3 linked regions of the Kluyveromyces lactis genome follow. The protein of the gene in region 3 interacts with the protein of the main gene of each other region in a pairwise test. Links are inferred from orthologs where the notes say so. Each region holds a gene or a part of one and is shown on either strand. Other genes may lie near its edges.

What was found.
Region 1: the proteins of RAM2 (region 3) and CDC43 interact in binary tests that used the Saccharomyces cerevisiae proteins (3 or more experiments, as listed by UniProt). The link is inferred for Kluyveromyces lactis from reciprocal best matches to the Saccharomyces cerevisiae genes RAM2 and CDC43.
Region 2: the proteins of RAM2 (region 3) and RAM1 interact in binary tests that used the Saccharomyces cerevisiae proteins (3 or more experiments, as listed by UniProt). The link is inferred for Kluyveromyces lactis from reciprocal best matches to the Saccharomyces cerevisiae genes RAM2 and RAM1.

What each region holds. Positions count from the first base shown.
Region 1 is NC_006041.1:782,277-792,073, forward strand, and holds CDC43 (protein geranylgeranyltransferase type I subunit CDC43), read left to right. Parts: upstream 1-7,645; coding exon 7,646-8,731; downstream 8,732-9,797. Other genes in the region: PUB1 (Pub1p), read left to right, coding at 524-1,951; ubiquitin-specific protease UBP1, read left to right, coding at 2,715-5,030; EXP1 (Exp1p), read right to left, coding at 5,175-5,606; YFH1 (ferroxidase), read left to right, coding at 6,020-6,592; PBI2 (Pbi2p), read left to right, coding at 6,999-7,229; HEM25 (Hem25p), read right to left, coding at 8,881-9,765. UniProt on the Saccharomyces cerevisiae protein: Catalyzes the transfer of a geranyl-geranyl moiety from geranyl-geranyl diphosphate to proteins having the C-terminal sequence Cys-Ile-Ile-Leu or Cys-Val-Leu-Leu. Acts, among other substrates, on Rho1 and Rho2 and CDC42 proteins.
Region 2 is NC_006042.1:676,881-688,645, forward strand, and holds RAM1 (protein farnesyltransferase), read right to left. Parts: upstream 7,196-11,765; coding exon 5,906-7,195; downstream 1-5,905. Other genes in the region: KLLA0_F07073g (uncharacterized protein), read left to right, coding at 1-17; KLLA0_F07095g (uncharacterized protein), read right to left, coding at 893-2,125; RNA-binding signal recognition particle subunit SRP14, read left to right, coding at 3,709-4,164; clathrin-mediated endocytosis regulator UBX3, read right to left, coding at 4,283-5,521; RIM13 (Rim13p), read left to right, coding at 7,385-9,442; NUR1 (Nur1p), read left to right, coding at 9,652-11,292; FG-nucleoporin ASM4, read right to left, coding at 11,402-11,765. UniProt on the Saccharomyces cerevisiae protein: Catalyzes the transfer of a farnesyl moiety from farnesyl diphosphate to a cysteine at the fourth position from the C-terminus of several proteins having the C-terminal sequence Cys-aliphatic-aliphatic-X where X is Ser, Ala, Met, Cys, or Gln.
Region 3 is NC_006041.1:1,598,850-1,610,509, reverse strand, and holds RAM2 (bifunctional protein farnesyltransferase/protein geranylgeranyltransferase), read right to left. Parts: upstream 6,319-11,660; coding exon 5,377-6,318; downstream 1-5,376. Other genes in the region: ATP-dependent 5'-3' DNA helicase HCS1, read left to right, coding at 1-1,177; WD-repeat containing protein SWD2, read right to left, coding at 1,159-2,139; MCO12 (Mco12p), read left to right, coding at 2,408-2,413, 2,530-2,781; MND2 (Mnd2p), read left to right, coding at 3,100-3,915; tyrosine protein phosphatase YVH1, read right to left, coding at 4,008-5,075; KLLA0_E17953g (uncharacterized protein), read left to right, coding at 7,040-10,495; KLLA0_E17931g (tropomyosin), read left to right, coding at 11,011-11,028, 11,268-11,660.

The sequences.
Region 1 (9,797 bases), about 810 kb from region 3:
GAACCTACACCGCGTTCTGAGTACTGTTAGAAATAAACGCTCTAGAAATTTTTCCTGCGTTTTCCTGTCCTGTTTTCCATTCGATTTCACAGAAACTCACAGTCGTGAAAATATGAAATGCTGGCGAAAACCCAGATTTTTTCACAGATTTGGAAATTGATATTTGGAAGGAAAAAAGATTCGAAGGTTTTCATTTCAATTAACATTTTGAGACACCCATTGGTAGAATTCGTGTTTATGATCTCAATTTGATATAAACCCTCTGTGTACTATTACTTGGAAGGCGATTTCAGAGTCATTAATAGCTTAAGTTTATACCCGAGGTGCCAGAAAGGATAGAGTTCTATTCTACATTGCAATTGTAACCTTTTTTATTGTTTTATTCTTTTAATCTAAGTGTGTTAAAGAAGAGATCTACATTCACTCACTCACGTATACCAGTTTATTCACTCGAGGAAGATATTGATTTATATCAGAATAGAGTTTTTTTGTTTTACGTTAAATTTGCCAACATAGAATAGCAATGTCTGCTGAAGAATCACAACAAGCACAAACTGAGACTGCAGCACCAGTTCCGGTTCCAGCTCCAGCTGTCGAACAGGATCATTCCAATGAAGCTACTACAACCGTCGAAGAGAAATCACCTGGAGCTGCTACCACTGCTCCTGCTACTGAGGAGGCACCGGCATCTGAAAAGCCTGCTTCTCAGGATAACAACGGTGACGGGGAAAAACAACAAGAAGAAGGAGATGAGGAAGATGACTCTGCCGCGCCTGTTTTGGCTACTCAAGGTGGTAGAGAAAAGTCAGATAAAATCTTATACGTTGGTAACCTACCAAAGAGCATTGATGATGATCTATTGAAACAATATTTCCAAATTGGTGGGTCCATTTCCAGCGTTAAAATTATTCCAGATAAGAACAGTCAAGAGTGTAACTATGCGTTTGTTGAATATTTCGAACCACACGATGCTAACGTCGCATACCAAACTCTAAATGGTAAGGAAGTAGAAGGGAAGGTCCTTAAGATCAATTGGGCGTTCCAATCTCAACAGGTTAACAGCGATGAAACTTTCAATTTGTTCGTCGGTGATTTAAACGTCGATGTCGATGACGCCACTTTGGCCGGCACTTTTAAAGAGTTCCCATCCTTCATTCAAGCTCACGTGATGTGGGATATGCAATCTGGTAGATCTAGAGGGTACGGTTTTGTATCATTTGGTGAACAAGATCAAGCGCAAGTGGCTATGGAAACTAAACAAGGGTTCGAATTGAACGGCAGAGCCTTAAGAATCAACTGGGCTTCCAAACGTGAACCCCAACAAAGTCAACAAGGTCAAAGAAGATTCAATGGTCCTGCCAGTGGCCGTGGTGGATTCCGTAATAACAACAATCAGAACCAAAATCACCACAATCACAACGGTATCAACAGACATGCTGGTCCACCACCACATCACCAAATGCAATCTCACCTACCCCCACAATTGCAACAGCAACCCCCAATTGGAATTCCTCCAATTCATCAAGCTCCTTTGGTTCCTCCTCCAGTGGATCCAGAAGCCGTTGAAGATATGATGAGAAGAGCTCCTCCAAGAGTTACCACTGCGTACATCGGTAACATCCCACATTTCGCTCAAGAACACGACTTGATTCCATTACTACAAAACTTTGGTTTCATCATCGACTTCAAGCATTACCCAGAAAAGGGTTGTTGTTTCATCAAATATGATACTCATGAACAAGCTGCGTTGTGTATTGTGGCTCTAACAAATTTCCCATTCCAAGGAAGAAACTTGAGAACCGGTTGGGGTAAGGAAAAACCAACTTTCATTCGTCCACAACAACAAATGGGTCCAATTCCTGGTCAACTTCCACTAGAAGAACAACAGCAACAGTTTGAAAATGCCCCTCAGCAGCATGATCAACAGCAACCTCAGCAACAAGAGCAATGAGTTCATTAAAACAAAAAAAATATTAATTGTTCCAACACTAGACATTTTTCTTCCATCCGAAATTGTCTGATTCTACATGTGATGATGACCCATTATTAACTTCCTATATATAATGATATAAACCGTTATTATTTTTTTTGTCCCCTAGATTTCTAGATCTGTCCATCATGTCCATGCATTATTATTAGATATATAGAAATTATCGTTGCCTTATGATTCTTTAGTGTGTACAAAGAGGAACGGACCTTAACGCTTACTGTCAAGTAAATTAATCCAAGTAGTACATCCTCATCTTTCTTATATAGTTTTGTTGTTAACTCTCGTAATCTTCTTTACCAGTGAACCCAAACCCATAGGCCTATACATTACATACGTCTGTGGTTCTTAAACCAAAAAAATGAAAAAAAAAAAGTTCAAAAATGTAACGAATGAAAGCTATATAACTCTGAAATTATTATAGGTTTTGCCATTGATAGGAACATACATGCCTGGAAAAGTATCAATTTTGCTGTGATAATCTGATACTGTTATTGTCAATCTGATATTCAAAGTTATCATAATCTTTTTACTGGAAATATTTTCCAATAACTGAATAGCAATAGATATTTTAAAGATCATCAAAGAGTAGGATTGTTATACGGATTAAGCTTTTTACAAATACAAAAGTGTGAAGAGAACTAGGTTTATGAAAAACCATAATCAGTTATAAAGATCCTATCAATTAATCGCTAGTCGTTTCGTTCAATTATACATTATTGTTTGTATGCTAACCACGATTTTAGAGAAGTTAGGCTTTGAAGAAAAGAGAGTTTTAAAAGCGGTACTAATTGGATTAATTGCTTCGCTATACTTCCTGTACAAGAACGAATTTGATATCACAAGAGTGGCTGTTTCTGTTGTAAGTACCACGAAAGAAATTACACAAGCAGTAAGGGATAAAATAATGCTTGGTCGATGGGCTCCAAGAAATGCGGAGCAAGAGGAGACTATTGTCAGAAGAGGTGGTTATGTTGGAGGTTTAGTGAATGACGGTAACACATGCTTTATGAATTCAGTGCTCCAATGTTTGGCCTCGTCCAAAGAGTTGCATAAATTCATGGACACTATTATCCTAGATTCTAATGATGACAGTCAAAATACAATTGATGAGAATGGAGAAGAATCAGATTTGCCTAATGAGCAATCTACTGTTGAGAAGAAGCCTAAAGCAACAAAGAATAAGACATATGGAAAGAGGAAAAAGATCGCTGTACGTCAAGCAGACAACGAGCTCTTAAAAAACTCAACAGAACCTAATATGCATTTCACATTGGCTCTTCAGGATCTATTCTCAAAGTTGAATGCGAAACATTACCGTAACAGACCATGGTTTAAGACCAACAAACTTTTGAAAACTATGTCAAAAGCTCCAAATAGGAACATCATCCTAGGTTATGATCAAGAAGATGCTCAAGAGTTTTTCCAAACTATCCTTTCAGAGCTGGAGAAGAATGTTGAAAGCATATATGGAAAACCAGAAAAGGATCCAAAGCCAGTACCACAAGATGATTTGCCTGAAGATGCAATTGTTGGACAAGAACACCTCGGCGAGATTGGTGATGTCTATATCCCAACGGAACAGATCGACCCAAACTCCGTGCTTGCATCTGGTAGGAAATTCTATTCTCCATATAAAATTGTTACTCCCTTAGATGGTATCACTGCCGAAAGAATTGGATGTTTGCAATGTGGTGAGAATGGTGGGATAAGATATTCAGTCTTCTCAGGTCTATCTTTGAATTTACCCAGTGATAACATCGGTTCCCCAATCAAACTGTCACAACTTCTTGACGAGTGGTCGAAACCTGAGATCATCGAAGGAGTTGACTGTAATCGTTGTGCATTGAACGCTGTTTTGGAACATTTAGTAGAACAACTGAACACCATCCAATCACAGCCAGATGTCAATCAAAAACTAGTAACCTTGATGGAGGATAGGATCAATGAAGTTAAATCAGTGTTGTCAAAGCTTGCCATCGATGATGATGACTATAAGAGGATGCATACTGAGAACATGGTTCGCAAATCCTCAAAGTCAAAACAAATTTTGATTTCTAGACCTCCACCATTGTTATCTGTTCACATCAACCGGTCCGTTTTTGACCCTCGCACTTATATGATCAGGAAAAATAACTCAAGAGTTATATTCAAAAGCAAATTGAATCTATCACCTTGGTGTTGCAATTATGATAAGATTAATCTTGATGCACGTCTTCCGATGTCCAAGAAGCAAGAGAACTGGCACGAATCATCCGAAGATGACAATAATGGAACTGAATACTACAATAAGTTGCATCGCAGATTTGAAAAAGAATTTGAAGACAGCGATGAAGAGGAGGATGGAAGTGATAATGGTCAAGGAATGTTCAATGGATCTTCAAGAATGGTGGAAGAGCATGATGTTTTGAATGGTGAATTAAGTTCGGCATCGTTGTCATCATCCGAAGACGATATTGCTGAAGTCGAAGAGGTGGAGTTAGATGCCCTTGGAAATACAATCGTAAAAAAGACTGCCAAAAAACCATTATTAGGTGGCAATCAAGATGTGTCTATCTCCAGAGGAAACCTCGATATAGTAGATGCCGAAGGCAACTCTGAGCAAGAAGATGATCCTGAAGATGATGATGAGGATGAAGCTTATGAAGAAGACGAAGCTGAAGAAGACGAGGAAAACTCCGAAGAAGAATCAGATGACTCCTTGCCAACACCTCCGCTTCCTCCTACACAACCAATTGTGTCCAGCGTTCCTGCCGGGCCTTTGACATATGTTTTAAGATCTGTTATTGTACATTATGGTACTCATAACTATGGTCATTACATTGCATTTAGAAGGTTCCGTGGTTGCTGGTGGAGAATTAGTGACGAAAGTGTTTACATTGTCGACGAACAAGAAGTGCTTTCTACCCCCGGTGTTTTCATGTTGTTCTACGAGTACGATTATGATACAGAAACAGGGAAGATGAAAGACGATACTGAATACGAGAATGAATTCAACGTAGAGATTGAAGGTGAACCTGCTGTTGATCAAGTAACTCATTGAATTTTATTTTGCAATTTCACGCATCTAGTTACATAGATACATAAATATCACAAATCCCCTAATATAATAGCATGTTACAATCAGAGTTTTGGAGGAGTTTGAAACGCTGTACGTAAACCTCTTTACTTGTGAGAACAAAAAGGCTCACACAAGATTTTCCTGTGTCTCATTTTCTTTACCCAAATACTGGGCATACCTTGCAGCTTCCTCTTGTTGTTGCTCTCTTAAATCCTCCGCGATCAACTCATCAACATCATAATCAAATTCAGCTTCGTCCTCATTGTATTTACCAATGACACGCTTCTTCAACCCTGTTTTCCCATCGATTTCGAACTTCCGAGTCCCAAATCCCTCACCTTCTTGTGATGAACTAACTTTAAACTTCACAGGTGCATCCTCTTTCTTCAATTTTGCATATTTTGCAAGGGATCCAGCCTTTTCCGAATCTTTGGCATCACCACTGCGTCTGGTAGTCTTCTTGTCCACTGAATATGAACCAATTCCTCCAATTAGCGGTAGTAATACAACGAAAGCTACCACTAAAAGAAACACAATTAAATATACAAATGGGTTCATTGCGAAAGGCAGTACTGACGTCTAGTTGGCACTTTTCGTCAAGAAGTTGATATTATATCTTAAGAAACAGTTGTTTCCCTTTGTATGCATAGCCATTAGCCATATAGTGTGAGTGTCGGCTCATCGATCTTTTTTTTTCAATATAGATTGTGGAAATTAGATATAAACTTAAAAGACTTGAAGGACCTTTTCAGTTGAAGTAGGTTGAGAAATCACAGTTTAGGTACGTTATTCTCTATCACGTTGAGTTCAGCATACAACATATTGAGGTGCGAAAACTGAATCAGTCCTAGTTGCTATTAGCTTGAATTAGTAAATTTACCTTGAGGCTTGCGGGAACAGACAACGTTCAAAGGAATTATTCGGAGTATTGAATTGATACAGTAGGAAAGAAATTAGAAGATAAGGAATAAATGCTAGTGAAAAATAGCTCCAGGGTCATTAGAAGCGTCATTTCCAGACGTAGTATTGTTACCAAAGCGATACCTAGCATAGGTCTCGCAAGAACTGCACCAACTAGGGCTCCTGTGTTGTCAAAACTCGGGATTTTGAATCAACATAATCTACCCTTTGTTACAGTACAGCGGATGCATAACAGTATAGCAGCATCAACAGATGGGAAAACTATCCCAGAAGAGATTCTGGATATGCCTATCGAAGTGTATCACGAAATTTCTGATGAGTTTATGGATAGCTTACTGGATCAGCTCGAAATTCTCTGTGATTATCATCCAGAAGTCGTGCAGGATGTTGAGATGTCACAAGGTGTGATGAGTATAGAAGTTCCTTCCGTTGGTACATATGTAATCAACAAGCAGCCCCCAAATAAACAAATATGGTTGGCTTCTCCGGTGTCTGGGCCCAACCGATTCGATTACTATCAAAAGGAGTGGGTTTCGTTGAGAGACGGTACGAAGTTACTGGATATCCTAAACAAAGAGCTCAGTGACCGACTAGAAGGCGACGAAATTGACCTACATTACTGAACGATGTAAATATGATCTTGCTGCTCACAAACTGCCTTACAACTATGGCATGTCCGCAGTTCACCGTTAAGGACCCAATTTCGCAGAAACAATTCAGAGATCACAATCAACCAATTTTACTCTTATTTATGTATATACTTTTGTTTGTTTCATTTATTTATACCTATAACGTCCAAAATATACCTTACTGACGCGATTGCACTTACACAGTCCCTGACTTCTTTTGTTCTTTATAGTCTATACTTTGTTGCTATATAAATGAAATCTGTTTGACTCAGTAACTTTCTCTTCTATAAATGAAATCTGTTTGACTCAGTAACTTTCTCTTCTATAAACCACATTTGATAGTCTCGGTAAAGAAGGGGTCATTCTGAGCCAGAAGCAAACAACCCCAATCATAACAATCATGACATTCAAATCGTTCATTATCACATTCAAAGACAGCGTTCCAGAAGCCGACGCTTCAAAGATCAAAAACTCCATTTCTTCTCTGGGTGGTACTATTGTCCATGACTATTCCTTAATTAAGGGATTTGCTGTCAAGTTGCCAGAGTCTCTAAAGATTGATAAATTGAAGGATTTGCACGGTGATGCTTTCGAAACTATCGAGGAAGATAAAGAGGTCAAAGCTTTATAAGCAGGGGATCATATTGAGAACGTCCGAGTCATACATGATGGTTGTTCCTTTTTTGTCCCTTTACTCAAGATCTTTGATCACTCGAAATATCGGGCAGGGCCCTTTATTCGCAAGAACAACTTTTAGATTATTACAACAAGAATAGAAAACCGGTACTGTCGAATGTCAATTAGATAACGTCTATATATTTGCATTCATATCTGTAATCTTATAACCACTTCTGGTATTCATATCAACGTCCTCTTCTACGGGATATCTCTTTTCATCTAACTGTGCTTATGTTCACCTTTTCTATTATAATGGAAAATGATATCTAAGAACATATTAAGTGCGAATCTCCAGTTAGAAAGATCGATTAAGACGGAGGATAAGACAACCAAATAGGGAATTAGAGGTGAACGGATGCTATATTTCGGATGCAAGGAGTGATGGATGATAAAAATGTGGCAAAACACATAAAATTTTGTCAAAGACATTTGCAATTGTTGCCGTCTCATCGCCTGGATATAGATCCCAATAGGTTAGCCATTGCGTTCTATTCGTTGACAGCGATTGAGCTATTGGGCAAGCCAGTGCGCAAGGACTTCCAATACAGTTTGGATTGGATTAGATCGTGCTATATTGAACTTGCTGATTACTCTGGCTTTGCCATCCCGTCTTTTAGACACGCTAAGCAATTGACTACTATAAATTTACCAAATACATTATTTGGACTAATATGTCTTATGTTGTTGGGGGATCACGAATTCTTTGATGAGAAGTTGAACCGTGATACGTTGGGCAAATTCATCTCATCTTGTCAGTTACCTGATGGGTCATTTACCTCTTTTCTGGATAATGCTGGATATCCATCGAAGTTCGATTCCCATGATCTGAGGTTCTGTTATATTGCAGTATCGATCCTATATCTTATCGGATGTCGATCAGAATCGGATTTCTCTCGGTATATTAACGTTTCTAAGCTGCTACAATATATCATGTCACGTCAGTGCACAATGGGGGGATTTGGTGACTGGAACGAGCCACACGGTGGATACACATCATGCGCGTTATCTGCTCTATCTCTACTAAATCAACTACAAAACATTCCTGCCTCGTTTAGGCAGGATACTCTTCATTGGTTGGTGAACAGACAGGTTTCTGCTATTGGTGTCTTTGTTGAACAGGATTTAAACGACGATTACGATCCGGATGACTCAGGTGGGTTTAACGGGAGAGAAAATAAACTTGCGGATACGTGCTACGCGTTTTGGTGTTTAAATTCTTTAAGAATCTTAGAGCCCCAACGTTGGAGTCAGCTTATTGATGTTCCACTGATACGAGATTATTTACTGAATCAAACTCAGAATAAGATGGTGGGTGGATTTGCCAAGAATGATCAAGATGACCCTGATATATATCATAGCATGATGGGAATATCCGCTCTAAAATTGATAGATGATGAGATAAATGGGGTGCTCTGTATCCCGAAACTAATAATGGATAACTTCAACCTGCGTTGAGTTATTGAATTTGTAACTTTTAGTATGTATCTGTACATATTTATTAGCATTAACCCATTGGAGAAGAAAGAATACAGTGGCTAATTCAAGCTTCTATTTACAGGTTTCTTCTTATTTCTTTCCAACTAGGTGTTATTGTGCTCATTTGTTTATACGAACTTCTTGACGATCTCTTCATAAATACCCCAAGCGATTCCTGCACTAAATGCTTTTCTTGTAAGTCTAAGGCTGATACCGGCGAAAAGGTTCCTGACGCTCTCCTTCGTTGCAATATGCCAAAAAGTTGATGTAAAACTGTGAAATTTAGCTGGTTCCAATTGCATTCTTGTTTTCACAGTATCGAAGGGAGCTGTTATAGAAGTTGCTATCACTGCAGCAGAAAAAGCACTTGACCCATTTATTAACGTCGAGGCATAAGTCGAGTATCTATTATCTGAGTTGAGTTTTACAACATTGCTAGGCAACAGTGTAGGAACCAAAACCTTCATCCGATCGTAAAATAACATGTATAACCCTGCATATGGAGCATCTCTTAGGGCAGTAGCTCCAAAACCTCTAAAGAACCCACGTAACCCTTCGGTTCGGAAAATATGTGATGTGGCATATCTTAATGATGTATACTGATACAACGTCGACTCATACCGCACTTTAATAACGGTGATAGGCATTGTAATCAAGCCAGTCAAAGCTCTGGTTACCGCACCAGAAAACATGTTCTCATACATGTTTAACTGCGGTAAATAACTACTCCCCGTGCTGCCGGTATTCTTCCCTTTGCTAATCGCTTGTCTTATACTATTTAACATTGTCAAATACATCGCACTACCAACAGAAGTTCGTATACAAGACGGCAATGCACCTCTCCATAGCTGAGACGGGGTCTCGATGCTTTTCAAGGTTTTCCATAGTGTACTTGTCTTATCCTGTTGAAGTCTGGTCTTTAGCAAGTCAAATGGCTGAAGGATAATCGCTGACACTAACCCTCCAGAAAACCCTCCAATTAAATGGGTAGTGGCCCTTCGTTGCTCAGACATATGTTAACCTCAAACGAAACAGTTTGTATGAA
Region 2 (11,765 bases), on a different chromosome or scaffold from region 3:
ATAACTACACTGGCTGAGAACGGATATCCAGGGTAATGTGCTGGCACAAAAACGATCTATGGAGTGAGGAACGAACAAACATAACTAAAACAATATGAAACGAATTATACCCGGGAATATGTATACCTCTATTTCCTTACCCAAACATACGACACATAAACGCACGGATTGTGAATACGGTACTTGTAGCACTACATGAACCGAACTGTCCATATATATGTATTTATATAAAGTTATATATTAATGAGAAACGAGATTTTTTAATAATTACTTCAATTTACTGAGGTTGGCACTAAAATAATTAGCGAATGAAAGAAATAAAACTGTTTATGAGGCAAGTGTCTTTCATTCAATTGAATGTCGGAAGAGGGTACTAGCTTTATGATAACGTTTTAGATGTTATATTCTTTTATGATTAGCAAATCAATCCTTAAGTTCCATAGTATCCATCATGTAAACATTTAACGCTTAAAAACTTTTATATTTATGATATATTTATATATAAGAAGAGAGAAGGAGAAAAAATAGAGACAATGTAAATGCCTTTTCAATTTTGTGATCGGAGGTCACAATTATGATTATCTGTCTCTTCGCATCCGACGTCTGATCAGTAAAATATTCTTATTATGTGCCTGTGAATGTTGTAACTGTTTTTCTTTCTCTCTTGGTTAATATGCGTAATTCAAAATCATGAGAAGGTTCAAAAGACGATGAGAGTTATAGTTCGTAAAATAATGTAGTAAGTTGTTAACATATTAATATATCATGTGGTGATGATAAGTGTGGACTATGGAAAGTAGGAAAGAAGGTGAGAAAGTATAAATGGAAATAAATAGGAGAATTGGTCATGAATTGATGGAAACTAAAGAAACCAAGTTAATTGTTAGCTAGTTCAGTTCTTCTTCTTACCAGTTCCGACACCAACGTTGTTCACGTTTCTGAACATGTAAACACCCTTGGAGTCAGCATCGTCAACGTATTGGCAAGTTCTTGCACTCTTCCATAGTGATACCCACATATTCTCATCGTTAAAACGGTAATGTTCACCCATAACCTTCTTGATAGCTTCTGAAGCAGGTCTAGCGTTGTAGAATGGAATTCTGGAACAGTAGTGGTGCAGAACATGTGTTTCGATAATGTCGTGGAAGATATGAGGGCCAATGAATCCGAATTGTCTATCAATAGTGGCAGCTGCACCTTTAGCGAAGGACCATTGGTCAGCCTCGTAATGTGGCATAGAGGCATCTGTGTGTTGCAAGTACGTGATGAACACTAACCAATGGTTAACCCAAATGTATGGAACAAACCAGTTAATGAAAACAGACCAGCCGCCAAATTTATCATACCATATCTTCAACACCAACGATTGTGTCAGAATACCCAAATCTGATAGCAGAATGTAAATGTAGTCTTTATCGTCGAACACAGGAGAACTTGGCCAGAAATGGTTCCATTTCCATTTTGGTACGTCTGGATAAGGCTGACCAGTGACATTGGTTAGCAAATAGTAGATCCAACCACCCAATTGTTGAGTAAGTAATTCTATCAAAGTTCTAATTGGAGAGTCTTCAGAGAATTCATCGATGTCAGCAAGAATACCACGAGACTTGACGAAATCTTCTTTTGTCTTTGGTACGAAAACCATATCTCTAGTAATATGGCCGGTAGCCTTATGATGCTTAGAGTGGGTATATTTCCATGAAAAGTATGGCACTAACAAGTAAGAGTGCAAAACCCAACCCACAAAATCGTTGACAGCACCATAATCAGAAAAGGCTTGATGACCACATTCGTGTGCTAACACCCATAGACCAGTACCGAAAAGACCTTGAACGTAGCCATAAAATGCCCAATACACAAACCTTGCAGCAACGTGTAGATCTTTGACGTATGGATAAGCAAAGACATTGGCAAAGTAACCGATACCGGCCATGATAGCGATATCACGGAACACATAGTATAACGAGACAGCTAACTTTCTATTATAGCATTCTGGAGGAATGGCACTTAAAATGTCCTTGATGGTATAATCCGGCACTTTGAACACATTACCATGTGTGTCTATAGCGACTTTGCAAGACTCGGTAGTAGTTTCAGCATCGGTTACGTACTGAGACTGAGACATTGTTTTGATTGGAAAATGTCCACAAGTAATCTAAAAGCGGGCCCAGTTAAAATCAGGAATATAAATTCAATACCAAAAGGTACACCGGGTGATACAGTCTAGATTAAGCTCTGAATTTATGCAGCAGAACCCCTTTTCACAGCCGAAACAGATATCAAGAGATTAGCCTGATGATATGTCCCTTTTAAATAGAACTAGATTGCTCAAATCTATCACTATATATATGTAAATATTCTATAACTCAAAAACTCAAAAAGACCAAAATTGGGACAATCTTAATATTTAAAATTTAAACTGCCTTTGGTTTTATATATTGGAAATGAAATTACGGTAAAGATTTGAATTAATGTATTTAGACAATACGCCGCAGCAGCGTTAACGAGAAAAAAAAGTAAGAAATATATATTTCGAAAAGTAACGGAGTGCACTACATTGATCTCCCTGCCAGCGCGCGTCAAGAAAGGGTCCACATTGGAAGTTACTGATGCCGTTGATATCCAAGGGCCTGGACTTAACAGGGCATGAGGATGGATTTATCACTCCGTTGCTGATACCAATCGTAACACAATCTTGCTTATTCACTATATACTACAAATAAATACTAAGAACGAATATCCAATTGGACAAAAAAGCACCTATAAACGATTGTATTGGCTACGCTTAACGGTTTAATGTTTCAATTCTTTTTTTTTACGAATTGTACTGTGGTGAAATCAGCGAGGGACACTGATTCTTTATGAAACCAAATCCAACCAAAAGGAAAATGCGTCAAAGGCTAGTAGGGAGAGAAAAAAAAAAAAAACAAAACAGACACCAATGTCTGATATCTTGCCATCGATTGACAATTGAGCTTCTACAATAACACTGGATACTCCCGGATCTCTCATCAAGGGTGAGAGAATGTACAGTTGATCGATTGAAGGTGTAACATTGCCAACAAAACTCTGTAGCAAATCACGCGATCAACTTACATATCCAATAGGATACCTCAAAAAACAGTCCGTAATCTCCTTGATGACAGAGAAGCTTACACACGCTTCTCTTTAGTGCAAAGTGACAATGACTACCCCCTTTCTGTTTCTCTGTAACTCATCGCATCTCATCTCATCTCGTCTCATCTCATATAGTATGGGGACCTGTTGTTTTTCTTTTTTTTTTTTGTTGGGAAAAACAAGATCGAGGATCGGAAATTTCTTTTTCTAAAAAAACTAACGAATTTCTTTTCGGGTTCAGGTGAATAGGCACAATTGATTTGGCAAATCTGGCGCAGATGTTAAATGTTATCCGGGTAATGAAGAACGTCACGTGGTTTGCCACATTTCATTCTTTTTGCACTTGTTTACCGGTATAGAAACAGAGTGGATATCAGAAACGTCGTAGAAATAAAGAGGAAACACATAGTGAAGGGACGATGGCCGGGTAGTGTAATTGCCAGTTGAAAAAATCGTACTTAGCTCCAGTCAAATGAGGGAAAGGCCTTAGATTCAACCTTCGACAGGCAGAATATGGTAAAGATGTCCAAAGAAAAAGGTTCAATATCATCACTTATCCAAGTCACCAGAATATACAGGTAACTTCCCATTATGTCAGACAAAGATGGAACCGCTAGTGGGCTTAAGGAAACGCCAGATTTCATAAAGAAACCTTTGTCTCATGACGAATTTTTTGTTAAGCTTGAAAAAGCTTTCAGAATGTCCAAGGTATCGCACAATCAGCTCAAAGTAAGCTTGAAAAGAGACTTGGGCAGTCATCACGTTCAAAAACCTAATGAATTGGATGTTACTTCCAATCCTACTGGTGATATCTCAAAGATGTCAGAATCCAAACGTTTAAAACAAAACGCTCAACCAGATACAAAACCATACAGACTTATCGTGCTAGTGAGCATGCCATATGATGGGAAACGAACGAAATTCTTCACTTTGGTAGATTCAAAGACTCTTGATAAATTTTGGAAGGATTATGTTAATGTTGTAAAAACAAGTATGTCTGGATTAATTAAAAAGAAGAAGAAGAAGAAGGGTGGTAAGAAAAACTGATGAAATATTCCCAACCTATTATCACCCATGAATCATAAATCCGCAATCGTGTAGCATTATAAAGTACATGTTATATATACATATATAGATGTCAAACTGCAAACCAGTAATTTGGTTTTCATTCGAACTCCACGACAATTGTTCCCGATGGATAAATTGTCCGTTCTTCCTTGATCACTGTGGTTGGCTCCAAACGGGTTCTGGGCACAGGTGAATATAGTTGAAAGTCATACTGATACTCGTAATTTGGTTTTTCTTGTGTAATATCATTCTCGCTGCTAGTGTCAGATAATAAACCTGCTCTGTATAATGCAACGTATGCGTAAATCTCCTCAATTGTTAATGAAGCATCAAATCTTCTAATAATTCTTTCATTTTCTAGTCTGATGCTTACTCTGCAACCGTCACCCGATGGTTCTGGCACTAGTACAGATTTTCTCCAAGCCAACCATTTCTTTTTAAGTTGGCTTTCCTCGATTACCCTATCCCTTTCCTGGTCCCTTTCTAGCGATTCTTGGTATCTCGAATCTTGTTGTTCTCTTAATAACCGTTGCATTTCCTGGTACTGTCTTTGCCTTCTAATCTCAACTAATACTGAATAATATGAGGCTAATTTGGCCTCAAAATGAGAGAAATCATAATCAAATAGTTGGCCCTCCACTCTGGCAAGCAATTTCATTTTATTATTCCGTTGGGGTCCAAGGGCACCTAAAAATGGAAACTGTCTAATCTTTAAAGAATTAGCAGTCTGTAGCCCTTGTGGTGTTGTAACATCGCAAAACCATACAACGCAATTATATTTGGTGACACATTCTACAAACTCGTTGGAAGTTAAAATCTTTCTTACGTACTCGAATGGATCGTATAGTATCGGATTGAAGAAAGATATTATTGCAAATTTACCATCGCTGGAACACCGACGTAAGATATCAGTGTAACCACCCTTAATCATATTTTTGCTCAACATTCCATTCTCTACATTGTACAACGTATCGAATGTATAACCACTCTGTTCGTTGGTATCGGCTGATGAAGAAAGGACATCTATAACATTTACGAATTGGTTACCCAAATCATCGCTGAAATGATTGTCTTTTCTTGTGTAGAAATGAAAGATCTTGCCTATTGGTTTGAAAACTTCCACCGAAGTTAACAGGATATTGAGCAAGTAATATAGTAATGTTAGTGGAATGTATAAGCACATTTTTAATATTCTAGGAACGCCAGCATTCAGTATTGTTTCCTGTTCAGGTTGTTCTGTATTATCATTGTCTTCAGGGAATGATCCTGGGAGAGGGGTAAAACTCACTGCAGGTTGGTTCTGCTGAGACGGCCTACTGAAAATGTTGAATACCATGTTCAACAGTTGCAGATTCGTTTCTATAGAAGAGTACAGCCTCTAATATAGGTGAAGCTTTCTCTTCTTCTACTGAAGATTTACCCTATGGATACCATTGACAACTTTTAAAGGATGTCTGATATTGTTTTTTAAATGTCAAATTTAATGGACAGACAATGATAGATCATCGTGAGTGGAAATTCACAAAGAAAAGCGCCACGGCTAAATAGTACAACTAAGGCATTTAATAGTTAGAGTATAATTCCCGATGATTGCTACTCTCAATTTTATTATATTCCGAAAGTTATTTTCTTCACCTATGGAGTCATGTTAATTTAGGTATCATAATGAGTATATAGTTTTATAGTATTACACATGCCATCAGAGTTAATCGTGAATTCATTACACTTTCATTGACAGATTAGACATGGATGGTTCTCCGCGTCTATTAATGAAATTGTTAACGTCAAGGATAGCCAGTCCGAATATGGGATGAATAGGCTCAACTTCCGGTTCTGGCACAAGTGGAGTTGCAACAAAATCGAAGGGTGAATTGTTTCGGACCATAAAAGAATGTTCGCAAATTGATAAACCAGCCAACACATAATTGGTATGATAAAAGTCCGCTTGTGTTCCCGGTTTATCTCTTAGGCCAGGGCTTTCTTCCGATTGACAGCATTTCAATATATATTGTTTTAGGGCGTCTTTATCTATGCATACTCCATACCCGTATGCTTCTAAGATTGCAGCAGTTCCGCCAACCCAAAAACTGTAGCAACCATCTGTAAGTTTATTGCTTCTTCCGTTTAAACCTTTCTCCTCTTTAGTTTGACGAGAACTACACCATGACAATAACGCATCGATATTGACCTTATCTAAGGCATTCAACATTGCCAAGCTGGCTACTGCACAAAAAGTGTAGCCACCATGTGCTTCATCATTTGGGCAGCCTCCGAAACCACCCTCGTAAGATTGGCATCTTGTCAAGAATTCCGTCACATTACTTGTTAGTTTAGAGTCCACAATGCCTAGTAGTGACGCTATAGATAATGCAGTGTATACGCCTCTCACATCTTGTTCGCCGACTGGGCGTGCAGTCATGAACGCGCCGCTAGGTGTTTTAAGAGAAATGAGCCAGTCGTATATAGCCTTTTTATTGATTTCTCTGTTATCATCGAGATTGTGACATAGAGCGATGGAATTTATAGCAGCGTATGTGGCCGCTAGATGTGGTAGTTGATGCTTTCCGCCGCTGAAGGGACCACCTGTAGGTGATATATACCATAGCTTGTCCAAAATACGCTTCTGATAATCGTTCGTAAGCCAAGTGGGATTCATTGTTTTGAAGGCATTGCCAATCCAGTACAACAGCCATGGCTGAGAGGCATCGAGTGATTTGAATCCCGAAGGTAATGGATTATTTAACCAATATTCAAGGAACATCTTATGAGAATCCTTCTGCAAATGGTTGAATTTCTCTGGAGCCTTTTCATAAAGCTCCAGACATTCATTTATTAACTCTTCCCTTTCCACCAAGGTTTCAGTAATCAGCCCTGTATTTGAAGTTCTAATTTCCATCACTTCTTCCTCATCTACCACTTCTTGCTCTATTGTTTCTCGTTTCCTTCCAAGCACATTGGTTCGAAGATAACTCATCTTTTTGATAGCCCTGGTAGCACTATTTATAGCCATTGGCCTTTGTCCAGATCTTTGCTTTCCTGTTCTCGCCCTCTTTGATGCTTCTGAAACTGGCAATTTACTATTACGAAACCTCAATCTTTATTCAAATAACATTTACGGTAGATATTTATAACTGAGAAATGAGTTTAATGCATCGATAACCTCAAAAACTGAGAATAAGGCTAAATGACTAATTGACTGATGCCCAGAGGAGCGCAAGCTATGCTGGAAAAGCAAGCAGACTCTGTGTGGAACCAGCTGTATGAGATATGCTGGAACTTCTACGTGAAGAACGTTTGGGATATTAACACATTTAAAGCGATAGTGGACAAAATAGAGAAAAGTGATGACAAACAGCTAATACGGTTTTTGATTTGGTTTAATGATGCTCGTAAAAGATCTAATTTCAATGACAAGTTCCAATGGATGACGTCTTTTTTGTATGGTAGGCGTTATCCGCCATTGGGCGATGATCTAGTGGTCAAAGAACCCTGGAATGATTTGCAACAATTAGACAGTATTATAAAGTACGGGAATGAACCAATTGACTTGGTCAAAATGCAGCCAGATTTTACTACGGAGGAACGTATTGTACAGAATAGGCGGGTCAACAACTGTTCTTTAATATGTAGTTTGACCAATGCTAGAGAGGAAAATCAGATAAAGAGTTATAGCGTCCATAACGTTTTCAACGTGATTCTTCATTTCAATGGGTCAAATCGACTAGTGTCAGTATTACGAGATTCAAATTTTCCAAAATGCTCTAAAGACGGGGCTGCCTTGACTCTCTTCTCCCATAATATAGAAGATATGTTGATTGAGCTTGCATATTTCGAAATCAAGAATAATCGGAACTACGCGTATGGGGGATCCAATACAGCTACTGATACTTATTTGCTCACAGGATGGATACCAGAGATTCTCAACCTAGGAGACGTATCATTTAGTGAAATACGTAAATGTTACCAATTCAATGCCATGCTTGCTTTAGGAACAGATTCAGTGAAGGGAAAAGAGGTAACAGAAAATCATGATTTTGTTGTGACTTCTGTCAATTGGAAGAAGGAACAATTTACCATCCTAAATCCTCACGGTACTGAAAACCCCACTGTGTATACTTGGGACGACCTAATAAAAGAATTCAAATGGTTATATGTAAATTGGGATCCATATTCAAAGTACACTCAACGTGTAAAACTACATGATCGATATCCAGATAAATTTAATGCATATCCTACCTGGACTCAAAAACCTTTGATGTGCATTGAGAACAAATCAAACAGCATTCAAAATTGTCATCTTTATCTAGAAAGACACCTACTAGATGATTCTATTCTCGAATCCAACCTGACAATTGGTGAAATTCCAAGGTCTGGGTTTACAGCTGTCTCAGCGGAGGGGAATAATAGTGGATTCTGTAATATGCAACTGCGGCTAAACCCCCATGAAACACGTCTAATCTTTTATCATTCAGACAAAAAGTGCAATTTGACTTTCCATTTACTATCTAATTCTGGTTTGGTTTCAATGTCAAAATGTAAATCAGATATATTAACTGCTGAGTCTAGCTGGAATATCACAAATAATCAGTGGACTATTGGTACTTCTGAATATTTCAAAAGTCCTGTTTTCAAACTAAAAAGTGATGGTTTCGATGATACTTATCTAGATTTTGAGCTAGTCTCGCAGTTACCAGCGAAGGTGAATTTTCAAATATTTGAGTCCGATGATTATGCCCTACAACGTCCGATCTTTAAGAATGACACATACTCCCCACAAATTTTTTCCAAGCATGGAGTAAGGTTATTAAAAGGGAGAGAATACTTTATAGTATGCTCCATCGCTCATCATATTACCTCTCCGTTCATATTTACGCTGCGAAACCCTGAAACAAAGCAGTCAAAATTTGAACTATCTCCATATTCGTTAGGATTTGGGGGATTAAGATATAATGAGGTTTTGCGGTGCAAAACGAGAATCACAATATCAGTTTCAAATTTCACGCGGTTATTTGTTCTGCTGTTCACGTCAGCTTCGAAAACAAATGGAAGACTCACGTTACGTTTGTACGAGAAAGAAACAGAGGAAATCCTCTTTGAACAAATAGAAACAAGGTATGATCTTAGTGTTAAACCATTCCCGATACCGAATATTGAACTTAAGCCAGCATCGTACGTGTTAGAAATATTCTACAATGCAGATGTTGTGATCTGTAATCTCGGAACTTCTCACCGAGCTATATTCGAATCGGATCTATAATTTCAACAAGTACGTTGTGGAGGTTTCCACCCACAAGCATATCCATCACATTGCATCACGTGATTTGTATTTATGTTTGCTCAAAAGGTAAACAAAAACGATTTATAAGATAAATAATGAAATTTGTAACAATTAAGGTCATAACGATCTTTGTCAAGCCGTTTACCGTTGATACTAATGCAAAAGCGCGGAAACAAAGCAAATAAATAATGGCATTTTGGCGAAATAGACATGAATCACCAGCCATTTCACAAGAAAGAAGCCCCAGTCCTGACAGGTTCCAAAATAGTGAAGATATAAGGGAAGATAATAATAATTATAATGAGGATGAAAAATTAGGATGGTTTGCTTCGTTCATGGGAATGTTTTCATTACCTTACGACTGGTACTTATCTATCAACGAAGATATAGCTGTGATTGACTGGGATAGTAAGTCAAACTCGGTAGCATGGCCTTTAGGAAATGTTCTAACCTTCCTTTTCTTCTCCGTACGATTATTGCAGGACAATGTGATAGCCCCAAACATCAATAAGCTAACTCATTCTGATGATGCATTTGACTTTTCAAAATCTAAGAATCTTCAGAAATATGATTATTTTCAGCAGTATGGAGGTTCCGCTTCTTCAAGCGAAAATTTATACTACAAAATGTTAAGACAATTGCACCGCCTGTTTTATCTGCTGACGGTGTTGTTATTAATCACTAATATTTCGGTAACTTATAGATATCTTTTCGCGCATTTCCAGACCTACTCGATTTTTTATTGGAAAACTGTTCCGAAGTCGAAGAATGTAACCAAAAAATCACTTCATGATTTGAACCATACCTACGTCGAAGACGCCAAAAGAGACTCTTTATGGGGGATGATTAAGTATCTCTTGTTCAATGGGTCTCACGATGATGAGACAAATAGAGCCCATTATTATGAATTACGAAAATGGACACCAAGCAGGTTTCTTACATCTTTTTTTGTCTCATTTTCTCCAATTGCATTCTGTTTCTTGTGGATGACAGATGTTACTTTCAAAACTCTTATTCCAATCATTATTCACCAATATGTTTTATGGTTTATTGTTATTGATCGATACGAGCAGAAATTGAAGGATGAGCAGATTTTGAGCATGTCCAGTGTGGCTGAATTAAATTCAAAAGTTATTCAACCTAAAATGAATGTCTTGAAGCAAGATGCGATGGTTGACGCAACACCTTATAACGATGGAATAGTTTACTTCTATCCGGCTTACACCACTACAAGGTCGCACGTCTTTGCAACCCACACTTTGAGTGGGAAACTTAGTAAAGAAAAGTATAATCCTCGCACAGATTCATTCGAGGATGCCAATTCACAGCGTACGGAAAACTACGTAAGGTTCTCGTACCATCACCCTAAGTCAATAAATGGTGCTTATGTACGAGAATCGTATCCTAGCAGACAGCATAGTCCGCGTTTGAGCCCTTCTCGCTATTCTCATCTTCAAAGTGGTAATACACCTTCCGCTCCCTCCACGCCACTTCTAATACCATCTCAACAACCTCATTTCGATCATTCCATGTTGGCCAATGCATCTAGAAATCATAATATAAGTGAGAGAAGAAACTCTCATAGTCCTATTAAACAACACTTTGCAAATAGGTTACTAAACTATCCGGATGAAACAAATGATAGCATACCCGATGTGTCTGATGACAGATTCAGAATGGATGATCGTTTCAGAAGAGGCAGACAAGGCTATTTCAATCGATCTCCCGACATCAATTCTGGTACGTTACATTACGATGATGGTGATGATGATGATAACCGTATATCAAAGTCTCCCTTTCGGAATTCATCGTCTTCACCATTTCGGTAGTTATTCACTCAAATACTCACATTCATTGAAGTTTGGTGCACTGGAATTTCTTGAGGTATCCGTAAATTATATAAACATAATACATCTCTAATTACTAAAGACAATGAGACTATAGGTCGTTCCACCCGAATAACCAATTGTTGACCCTTCCAATTAAATTTGTTGGTTGTTGGTTATTCCCATGCTGTTCCTGTTCTCGTAACTTGTTCTCCAAATTTCTTAAAAAGTTTGGACCACCATGAGGAGGGTTTGCATTATGCACAAACAACTGCTTTCCATCTTTGACATCCAATTTCCGAGTAGAAAAGGTGAACCCATGTTTATTATTATCAGCACTTTCTTGTGTCCCATTTTGTATATCAGATGATTCAGGTCCGTTTGGTTTCATCGATAAACTGAACGGGATTTCTCCGATGTCATCAGTTTTATCGATTTTGCACGAAGCCAATTGTTCTACGGCTGTTTTGCTATAA
Region 3 (11,660 bases):
CCTTGACGTATTGTCTAAAAAGGGAGACTCGGGCATGATTTTAAAAGACATTATGAAAGAGATTGATGATACCATTGCTAGCGTTAAAAAGCTCAAATCTTCAAGAGATCGCAAGAAAGGGTGGCAGGAGGTCAAGGCATTGAGAAAAGAATTGAGGCAGAGAGAGAAAAGTGGGCTAATTAATATAATTTTAAAGAGCAAAATTGTCGTTTGCACTTTACACGGTTCAAGTTCTCGAGAATTGTTGAGTGCGTATGATCTACAATCCAAATTGTTCAATACTTTGATCATTGATGAAGTTTCACAAAGTTTAGAACCTCAGTGTTGGATCCCTTTAATCTCACATTTAAAATCAGATATGCAAAGACTCATAATAGCTGGAGACGACAAGCAGTTACCTCCAACGATCAAAACTGAAGATAATGATAAAGTAAAGCGCTTGTTGAGTACTACCGTGTTTGACAGATTATTGCAACATTACGGCAACGAATTTAAGTACTTGCTAAATGTACAGTACAGAATGAACGAAGAAATTATGCAGTTTTCTTCTAACGAATTATATGACGGGAAATTGAAAGCAGATGACTCCGTTGCGAAACAACTGCTAGCAGATTTACCAGGTGTTGAATCGAACGACAACACTACTTTCCCATGTATTTGGTTAGATACTGAGGGAGACGACTTTCCAGAAAGGTCTGATGAAAATGACAACGATGCAGACGATAAGTTCCACCTAGTCTCTTCAAAATACAACGAAAATGAAGCATATTTGGCATTATACCACGTTGAGCAGTTGATAAAGGCTGGTGTTACGGAAGAAAGTATTGGTGTGATCTCCCCGTATAATTCACAAGTATCGCTGTTGAAAAAACTCATCCATGAAAAGCATCAAGCAATTGAGATATCTACCGTAGACGGATTTCAAGGTAGAGAAAAGGAGTGCATCATCCTATCTTTAGTAAGAAGTAACGAGAATTTCGAGGTTGGGTTCTTGAAAGATGAAAGAAGATTAAATGTCGCGATGACCAGACCTAAAAGGCAGCTTTGTGTCATCGGTAACATGGAAATGTTATCGAGATGTCGAGTGCCATTCCTAAATAGATGGGTGCTCTGGGTAGAGTCTGGCTTCGAAGTCATATATCCAGATCCCAGTATAATTCATTCGTTATATACGTAGAAATCTACAGTTTCATCTGCAGTGACAAACATGCTATATTTAGGATTGAATGCAATAGTTCTGGGACATGTATTTGGTGCGGCGTTAATAAATCCTTGAGGTTTGAGCGTCCTACCACTGATGAAGTCTGCGTGGTTCCATATCGCGATCTTCCCAGTGTAATCAGTTCCCAATGTAATGCGTCCATCTGGAGTGAACGTTGCGGATCCAGAATCCATGAACTCTCTCAATGGGAAAGGTTTAGTTCCTGATAATTCAAATAACTGTGTACCATCGAAGGAATCCATGATCAAATGTTTTCCAGCGGACGACGCAAGCAACAAATATTTACCATCGTTTGAAAACTCCAATTTATTCCACTGATCAAAGCTTGGATCCACATTTATAACTAAAAATGGGCCCGCCTTCAAATGTTTTACGTTATATAAACCGACTTCATGGTTCTCAGGGTTACCAATGGCGAACACAAGCCCGCTTGGATCGTAAGCAATGCATGTGGGGACTAAACTTGGTATAAGGGCCTGTGCCTTGGAGCTTCTCAAATCCCAAAGTCTTACCGATTCGTCATACGATGCAGACAAAAAAGTATCATCCAACGGGGACATTTGTATATCGCTCACTAGAGCACCATGGCCCTGGAAATATCTAAGGTATGTGTTTGTTTCAAGATTCAAATGCCTTATGTCAAACGATTTCATAGTGGATGAATAGATACATTCTGATTGCGCATGTGTAAACTTTGCGGAATGACATCCGTATTTTTTAGAAGCGATGGTATTCAAAAACCTGCAACTTACTGCATCATATAGATGCATATTATCACTAGCAGTTGCAGTCAACAAGTACTGGCCATGGTCATCAAATGTCACTGAAGTTATAGGTCCCAATTCTTTATCAGAAACTCTGAAGGACTTCACAGGCTCAAATCGTAGAAGATTGCTCTTGGAAATGCTAACAGTCATATTTCCTTTCTCAGCTAACTTTTAGATAATCACAGAACTGTTGCTAAACCGCTGGTGTCCCGTTGAGCTTCTCTTTTTGTCTCCAAATTGGTAATATTTCTTGATGGTGTTAACAGTTTTATTTAAATTTAAATGTTCCTCGAAATTGTAATGACATCTGTCAAAGAAATCAATAGTGTTAGTCACTTGCAGGTAGAGAAATAGAGCCTTTCTGGTCTTACTCTGGCTTTATAAAGAACTGACATATTTGAGATTTGTAATAAGAATCATGGGTGTACGTACCGTTCATTTTTTTGAAGAAGGTGGTTAGATACACCACCGTTTTCATCAACGGACTTTGATTTACTAACTAAAAGGTAATCTTAACTGCATTTATCAAATTCCAATCAGGTTAAAGATATAGTTCATTACAGTATTGACTTAGCGTTGTTGTCTATGGTATTGGCTGGATTGCGTAGAAGTAACAATTATGTTGTCGCTTATGAAATGTCTGACTTGAAGAATTATATTAAACGGTATCTTGACTGGGGAGAATACTTATTCGATAAGTTGGCTAACATGGCTGAAAGAAGTGCTTATTTTAGGAAACAGACTCCTTTTGACAAGTTCTTGGATCATATGGAAAGAAAGCGTAACCTGTAGTTACACCAATAACGTTTATTCAAACATACATACTAATATATAATATTCAGTTCTTTTTAGTGTCTTCTATCAATTCATATCAAATATAAGATAACTGGAGTGAATGCCATCAAGACGCCGGCGTTTAACTACTGGTAATTGGTGAGTAGTACAGCTCTCCTTATTTTTGTTGATGCTTTTTCTATTTCTTTTAAAATAAAACCTTTAAATCATGATTTACTTGTGTCCTGTTAAACACCACTGTGTCAATGGCAATAACAGACATTAAGAGGCTGTTCACAAAATATTTTTGGAGACAGTAGGCTTTACAAGTAAGATATGGGGCTTGGAGAGTTTATGTATGGCCTTGATGCCTTCAGACAACCTTCTGCACCATCCGATTTCAATAACATTCCTTTGATAAACAATCTACGAAAAGAGCTTCTGCAAAGCAAGACAAGCAGAAAAGGGAAACCGGTGAGTTGGAACATTGATAAAGATACCAAGAGACGGATCAAGCCTGGGAAGAGATTGATTCCTCTTGCGGCGTATACTTGCCATAGTGAGAAACCTTTAATTGCCAATAATGACGGAGATGTGTCTGATTCCAATACCATTAACATTCTAGATAAATCGACACTATTGCTGATAAGATCTCTTGGCTACTCAAGTTTGCGACCTATTGGCATTGATAAAACCCTAAAAGAGATCGAAAAGGAGAAGGGAAGTAAACAGAACAAGCAACAAAATGAACACAATTCAGGGCAAGAACCAATACTTAATGCCTACCAAACTTCCTCTTCATTTATTGTGTCAAATCATAATCATCAACATACAGAACAATCGGTACTGCTGACAGCACAAGTTGGTGAACAATCTGAAGAAGAGTACGATCAAAGTTATGATTACGATAACGAGTATGCGGAAGTTCACGAACAAGGATCTATGCTCGACAGAACGAGAGGTACGTTTGTTGAGGATTCACAATTAATTGATACAAGTTATACCAACCGGTCAAGATCCAGGCATTCAAATGTGGATGCACTGCCATTTGTAAATGAAAATGAGGATTCGGTCCATGAACAGCCATCGTTGACCATATCTGATACTCTAGACTCCGGTGCTCAAGGTTCACGAGTATCTAGCCTCACCTAAATGCCTATTAAAGAAGAATGACATGTATTAAACAAATAAAATAAAAAATGCTAACCTTTATGAATGATATTTATGCGAGTACTGAGAGACCATTATTCTTCAAACGATACTAAATTAGGTAGGTCTTTCCTAGTTAATGCTATTTGTTCGACTTTAGCTGTTTGGATATGGATTGCCGGAATCATCCATTTACCACAACTGCATCTAGAACCTTTCCAATTGTAACCTCCGATCTTGCTATCACAGTTCGGACAGAAAAATTTACCTTCAAGCTCTTGCTTTTGTAATTCTTTCTTCATCCATTCCAAAGGCTCCACGAAATAGTGCGAACAACGGTCTTGTGATTGTTGAATATCAATAATTCTTCTAGATCCTGCGGCCCTCCTAATGAAATGACCTTCCATTGATTCCTTACTTGGAGGATCATGCTTAATGAAAGAAGTGGAAAATGCAAGTCTAAACCTACATTTTTTGCAACGGATCGCAGAAACATCTTCTACTTCCTCTTTCGATAACTTAGCTACCTTTTCAGCTTCAACTTCTTCAGACTTATACATTTCATTTTGAGCCATGATATTGGCTCCCAAGGGATCAGTTTTAATGGAATTCTGTAATTTCCATTGTTTATAGTCTTTATTCTCGACATCCACTATATTCGAACCCATGGCTTCATACAGCTTCAGTTGCTCCATAAAGTTCTCATTTGGTTCAGCTACGCTCCGTTTCCTCTTCACTGCATGTAAAGCTGTCTTCAAATTGAACCCGTATCTGTACATTAAATACGCTACTGCAAACGTAACAGATCTGGATACACCTGCTTGGCAGTGTATATATATGGCACCCTTTTGGGGCTTCTTTTTGAAATCAACCTTCACTCGGTCAAGCTCTATCTCATCGGGAAACAGGCATGAATCGATGTATCTATTCGTTTCATTGAAATACTGCAACACATCTGTACTCAAATTATCGTCAATAGGAATATTCTTCAAAGTATAACTCTTCCTGACCAAGTATTCTGGAATGATCTCAAATTTGATCACTGATAGGATGTGAGTGATCTGATAATTCACTTTCAGTGGAACATGGTTCGCAATTGGTTGAATACCACCAACATAGATCCCACCTAGTACTCTTGTAATATCAGATTCAGTATTCGCCATTGCAGATGATTGTAGCTGATTATTTATGAATACTTGCCGGTACTAATATCTCTCTCTGAGGCGATTCCCGTCCACTCATTAAACTTTACCTCGTCTCATCTCATCGCTTCTTCTTCTTTAATCTTTTTGGCCTTGGAACAATTTTTTTCCAGTCTAGTTGAGGGAAAGAAACGTGATTTGTGTCAGTGAAGGTAGAGATGATATGATACTTCTGTAGTACCGACGGGTAGGATAGCCAAGTGAGCTTGGATGTGGGAGCCCTTTGCGCGACAAGGCATCCTTGTATGTTAATAATACAATCCTATATAGTTAATTGTCTGATTTTTAAATTCCAGTAGTTTTTCCTTATAGGATCCCAAGTGTCTGCTAATGCCTGATATGCGATCTTGGACTTTTCCGAGTCTGTTTGAGAATATACATCAGCTAGGAGCTCCAATGCGAAAGAAGACTTAACATGGGAGATTGGTCTTTCTTCTTGGTCGGTATATGTCTCCAAGGCGTTATCTATGAAGGACGAAGCAAAATTAATCAACTTGGAATCGTATTCGTTATTCTTGAATGACTTATAAATAAAACGTAGATGGTTCCAGGGGCTTACGTTTTGTGGAGCCAACAATATCTTATCCATACAGTATTGAATTTCCACCTCTGCTACTCCTTCCTCTTGAACATGATCGACGTTCTTCAAATAAAAAGCTCTATGGGTCCAGGCGCTGTTGTTATACACGTCTCTATCGATGTACTTGTTCACAAAGTCGAGTTCATGGGACCAATCTTTGAAGAATTGGACGGACCATTTGCGGTACGACCATACATGGTAATTTTTTGTATCGTCATCGATCATCACGTCTAGTATAGGAAGGTCTCGCACTAATTTGGGGGATGGATGTTCTGAGAGTAGCGCTTGTCTGTACGACCAAATCTGGTAGTTTTTCGGGTTATTTAAGGTGAACTCATCGAGCCAATCCAATTCTTTCTCCCATGCGGATACATCTTCTTTCCGGAACAAGGACATGCAAATCTCGAATCTGTAGTTCCATGCGGTGTATAACGCTGGTACAGTCTCAATCACCGCGGCAGTTACTGCCATTGCTCTTTCAGATAATTCATTTTGTTGTAATAATGCAACGAATAATGATACGAGTTCCTTGTATTGGTCTGTGTATAGGATGGCACATAGTTCATTTTCCAATCCAGATTCGATTGGTATTCTCTTAACATCAGAATAATCGCACTTGTCCATGGTATAGTGTATTATTTGTGATGTTCTTGGTTTTACTAAAGTTTGGTGAGAGTGTGATAAGGGAATTGTACTAGAACAGGTCACGACCCGGGGAACAACTGTTATATATAGTACTTAAAGGGGGGAGGGAAGCTATCAAGTTTCACCAGTGATGAGAATTGCAATGGATTTTTTCCATACTAAGTAACCTCAAACAGAGAAAAAGAGTCAAGGTGAACGGAAACCAGTCTACAATGAAGTGAGATCTATTCAATTTTGATGCATTAAGACACGAAAAGTTCTTCTCTGGTGAGGAAATTGTCCGTGTCATGTCCAAACGTATGTTCTTTACACTCAATACACAAACAATCACGTGATGGGAATTGTTGATGGTAAACACATTTTTCTGGCGGATTTTCCGCCAGAAAAATGATGGCTTACCATCAAGGGTAGTCCTTCTGTAAAGAATGAACCGCACAATTATCCCCCAAAAACACATTTCCAGCCCAGTTTGAAGAGGTTTTGTTGGATTTTTGTCGGTTTTGCATCAGCTTAGACGGACAATATTGGAACTTTTGAATTTTGAAAACAGTTTTACAAGGATTTAACAAATGATAACACGGCTTGTTATTGAGAATGTATTTGTTTAGCCATATCAACAGTGTATTGATTCAGTGTAGCGATAATATAACCAGGGCAATTACTATTAGATAGGAATAGTCGTGCTTTGCTGAAGTCAAGGATGCTTACAGAGAAAAAAGACACGTCTAAAGGCGATCTTTTGAACGATTTTTTGTTTTTAGGAAACGATGAGGAAGCTAGGGATAGCGCCGGCGATAGCGGCCCTCGAGAGGGCAGTCGCAACGTAAGTAGTAGTTCTGATGCTATTGATGCTGCAGACCTATTTGACCAGTATATTAATAAGGATATGTTGATGGAATCGATAGAGGACGATTCTTCTCCTGGTTTACTCAAATTGGATTTTGTGTCCCCTGTGAAGATGGAAAACCAGCTACGTACGAATGTTGATTTATTGAAGTTAGATACTGATGAAATTATGGATGTGAATGAGCATGAGGATGTTGACGATCAGATGAATGCTTCTGGCGGTGTTACAGATGTCCACGACGATTTGACTAGGGAAAATGTCGAACAATGGAAACTGGGAGATGAGAAACATAGCAGTAATAACACCGGAGTGCCAATGCAGAATCTTACATATTACCAACAAAGTGAACGGTTACTTACCCATGGGATGGAATTTGGTAGAACACGTCCTTTCAAGACGGTATATTTGAACCCAACTGATTTTCTCCCCAAGGATGATGATGATATCTCATTGCCATACAAATTGAATGTAGATGGAATCCCCTCTGTATCTAGAGTGGAAACTCAAATTAAAGTCAACGTCTCGATTTCCCCTCCACCTCCACAGTATATGATCCATTTACCGACAGATAGTATAACGAAACAGAAGCTTTATTTGACTCACGATATAACAGAGTACCCCATCGAGGTGAGGAGGCAGATGTTGTTTTTGGAGACTTTTTTGCTTTGCTCGTCAACAAATAAGACCACATACGTTTGTGCCAGGTGTGTGAAAAGAGAACAACGTAGAGCTGCGAGACGGAAATCTGGTGTAAGTGATAATCTGCTTTGGTGTAACAACGATAACAAGAGAGCTATTGTTTTTAATAGCAAACAAGTCCTCTTAATGAAAGAACATGAATGCAATGAAAACTCTAAAAATTTCTCTTTGATGACCCGTATCGTATGTTACTGCAGACATCATAAGGAGCCAGAAGGTTTCAAGGTGTTGATGGTTCTACGAGATGCAGATGATAATATCTTGGCAAGAACAGTGACAAACAGTATTGTTATTATGGATAAAAAGACGACAAGCAAGGGTAAATCTAGTGACAACCGTACCAGCGATGGTTATGTCAAGGATGAAGATTCTATGACAGGACAAGCCAGCGATTATAGTAACTCCGAATCCTACGTGAGTATGAAAGCTGAGGACTCTTCAGCGCCAGTACGGCTTTCTATACCAAAAGGTATGCCCTCTCCAACTTCCATTACGGAGGATTCTTCAGAAAATGTCCATACCGACCATGGTCCAGTAAACCCGACTACTCCTGGCTTTTTCCACTCTTCTGCAGCTGCCTCGGCAAGAACGAATGGTTATAAACGTCCAAGAAGCTCTATAGACGGTACCAATAAGTCAGAACGCTCGTTGTCTAATTCTTCAACCTCAGTAACTACAGCTTTGGATGTTTCTTCTTCGATATCTGGTCCACCTCATTCTTTGTTACAAAATAAACAACCAAACTTGTTATCTCAAATGGGGTCTGTGAAACCTGCTGCTGCAGGTATCGCAGCACCAGTACAACAACAACAGGCAGCTTTTCCAAGGCCTAACGTGCTAGTGCAGCAGATGGGTTCGTCTACAACGAATACTGTTCCCGAATCCGGCCCAAAACCATTTATTCAACGTGTTATTCCTGCTCAAGGTCCTATCAAAGGTGGCATCGAAGTGACACTATTGGGTTCCAATTTCAAACCTAATATGATTGTTAAATTCGGCGACAATAGAGCTTTATCTACTCAGTGTTGGAGTGAAAGTACCATCGTTACATATTTACCACCAACTTCGAAACCGGGTCAAGTACTAGTTTCTGTTTTCGAAAGAGAAGATCATGGTAATGAACAACTGTTGGGTAACATGTCAAACAGTAGGGCTATTTTTACATACGTGGACGATACCGATCGTCAATTGATTGAACTAGCTTTGCAAATCGTGGGACTCAAAATGAATGGTAAATTGGAAGATGCAAGAAACATTGCCAAGAGAATTGTTGGAAGTGATGGTGGCTCCTCGAATGGTTCGACACCAAGTTCAAACATCTCGCCCTCGACGAACTATAACGCTGACTCATATGCCACTAACTCCAGCAACCAGGTATACTACTCAGACGAAATGTTAATATTGAAAGTCGTGAAATTGCTAAACCCTGGCTCGAACCTATCCATGTGTAACTCAGATGGACAAACTATGTTACATTTGGCATGTTTGAAGGGTTACTTCCATCTGGTTTCTGCCTTGGTCAAAAAAGGTGCTAGAGTTGACGTTACTGATTCATTCGGTTTCACACCATTGCACTTTGCTTGCATCAACGGTGATGTCAAGGCTATCCAACTCTTAGTAGAATGTAAGGCCAACGTTACAGCAAGGGCAGACAACGGTGTCGATGCTCTCGATCTATACAAGTCGCAGCATGTTTCGGCTGCAGAGAAAAACAACTCCTACATCGAAGATGCTCTGCGCTTATTGGCCACGCATGATGGTGGCATTGAAAAAAACGAATTAGAAGACGAGTTGAAAATGTTTGGAAGAAAATCAAGCACCTCCAGTTTCCATTCCAGCGTATTCGATGCAGAATCTTTGGACTCTGTTGATTACGGCTTCCAAGTTCATGTTTCCAAGATGGTGCAGGATACATTATCGGACGATTCAGAGTACGAATTCAGTGGTTATGACGAAATGAGTGAATTGGACGATGAAGTACAGGACGATACTTCACTAACCATTGCTCAGCGGGAATCCCAGTTGCAACTCTCGACATATGTGCATCCCTACAGAGCAGACGGCACTGGTACGACAGTCAAGCCATCGGAAGAATTAAGCCAGGATAACGGTGAAGAGCAAGAAGGCGACAGGTCGGCTCGTACTCCAGAAGGACTACCTAAATATGAAGATTTATTCCCAGTATCTGGATTGAACACAAGCAAGAACAAGGTCACCGAATTGAGCCTCTCTATCGTCAGAGAGGCCAGTGTCGATACTGCTCCGGATTCACACGATTCTCAAACTTCAGAAACGTCCGAGGATGAAGAAGAAGCCCTACAAGTAAGATTGAACAGATTCTTCCAACAACGCCAAAACTTCAGAAACGATAAGATGTTGATTTTCTTCTGGATTCCCGTCATGGTTATCCTATCATCTGCGTTCCTAGCATTCCAATTTGGGAGAGACGGTAACAAGATTCATCATATCTCGGAAACGGTATCCGAAAACTTAAGAACTTGGATGGCAAAAACTTTACTAGGTAACGACAGAATGAAGGCTGCGTTTAGAGAATCCATCCATAACCTACAAAATCATAGACTGCTGGGAGAAGGAAACTACCTGGTCTAGTCGAACTTTTAATTTTCTTTTTCTTGAACCGACCTTTTATCTATGTGCAAAGCCCGTATATAGTCGAATCTTGAAATAATGGCTTTTTGTTAAATGACACGATACCAGATATCTAGTATGTATTCAAATATATAATACATACGCATAATAAATCATCGCATCCAGTGTAAATGCCCATTTCTGACTTTGTTACCCTTTGAAACCACATATTCTCACTGACGATCCTATCAATTCAACAGATTTTCATGGTTTCCCGCCTTTGGAAATCCAGAACGTATGAAAAAGCCTGAAAATCGAAAATATAAAAACAATAACAAACTTAAAAGGCTTCGTGTATTTTTACTCATTACATCAGGAAGGATTTACATGGGGTGTGTTCGTTGATTACAGATCAGAGACTAGTGCCCATTGATTGTTTGAAACTCGTCAATTACTGTAGTGAACAATTGAGTTATTTGACCTTTAATTTCACAAAAAACGCTCCCTGAAACAAGAACTAATACGAATCATCTACAATGGAAAAGATCAGAGAAGTATGTGTGGCGATTTTTCATAACTACTTGATCCCCTACCTCTCGGTCCGGTGATCAATGTGAATTAAGCAATTACTAACAAGATGCAATTCCTCGTCTGACGATCATTATCTTTAATGCTGAAATATGAAACGGTATGTCGATTGATGGCGATCCGCATTTGATTTCAGTAATAATGAACGTGACAGATTTGGAAAGTGAAGCGGGGGTGCTATCGCCCCCGTTTTTTGTTCGAATAGAAGCTAAGCAACTTGAAATTAGAAGCCGAGTCGTGGCAAGACAAGTACGAAGAGTTGAAGGAACAGGTGAAAGTTTTGGAACAAGAAAAGACGGATAACGAAAACTTGATCAAGTCTTTGACTACCAAGAACCAAACTTTGGAAGAAGAAGTTGAGACTTTGGAAGGTCAAGTCTCTGAACACAAGCAACTAGCTGAAGATTCTACCAATTTGAAATCTCATAACGAGAATTTCAGCAAGAAGAATCAACAATTGGAGGAAGAATTGGAGGAAAATGATTCCAAGTTGAAGGAAACCACAGAAAAGTTGAGAGAAGCTGATTTGAAGGTTGAGCAATTGGAAAGAAAAGTCACCTCTTTGGAACAAGAAAGAGATGATTTGGAAAAGAAATAT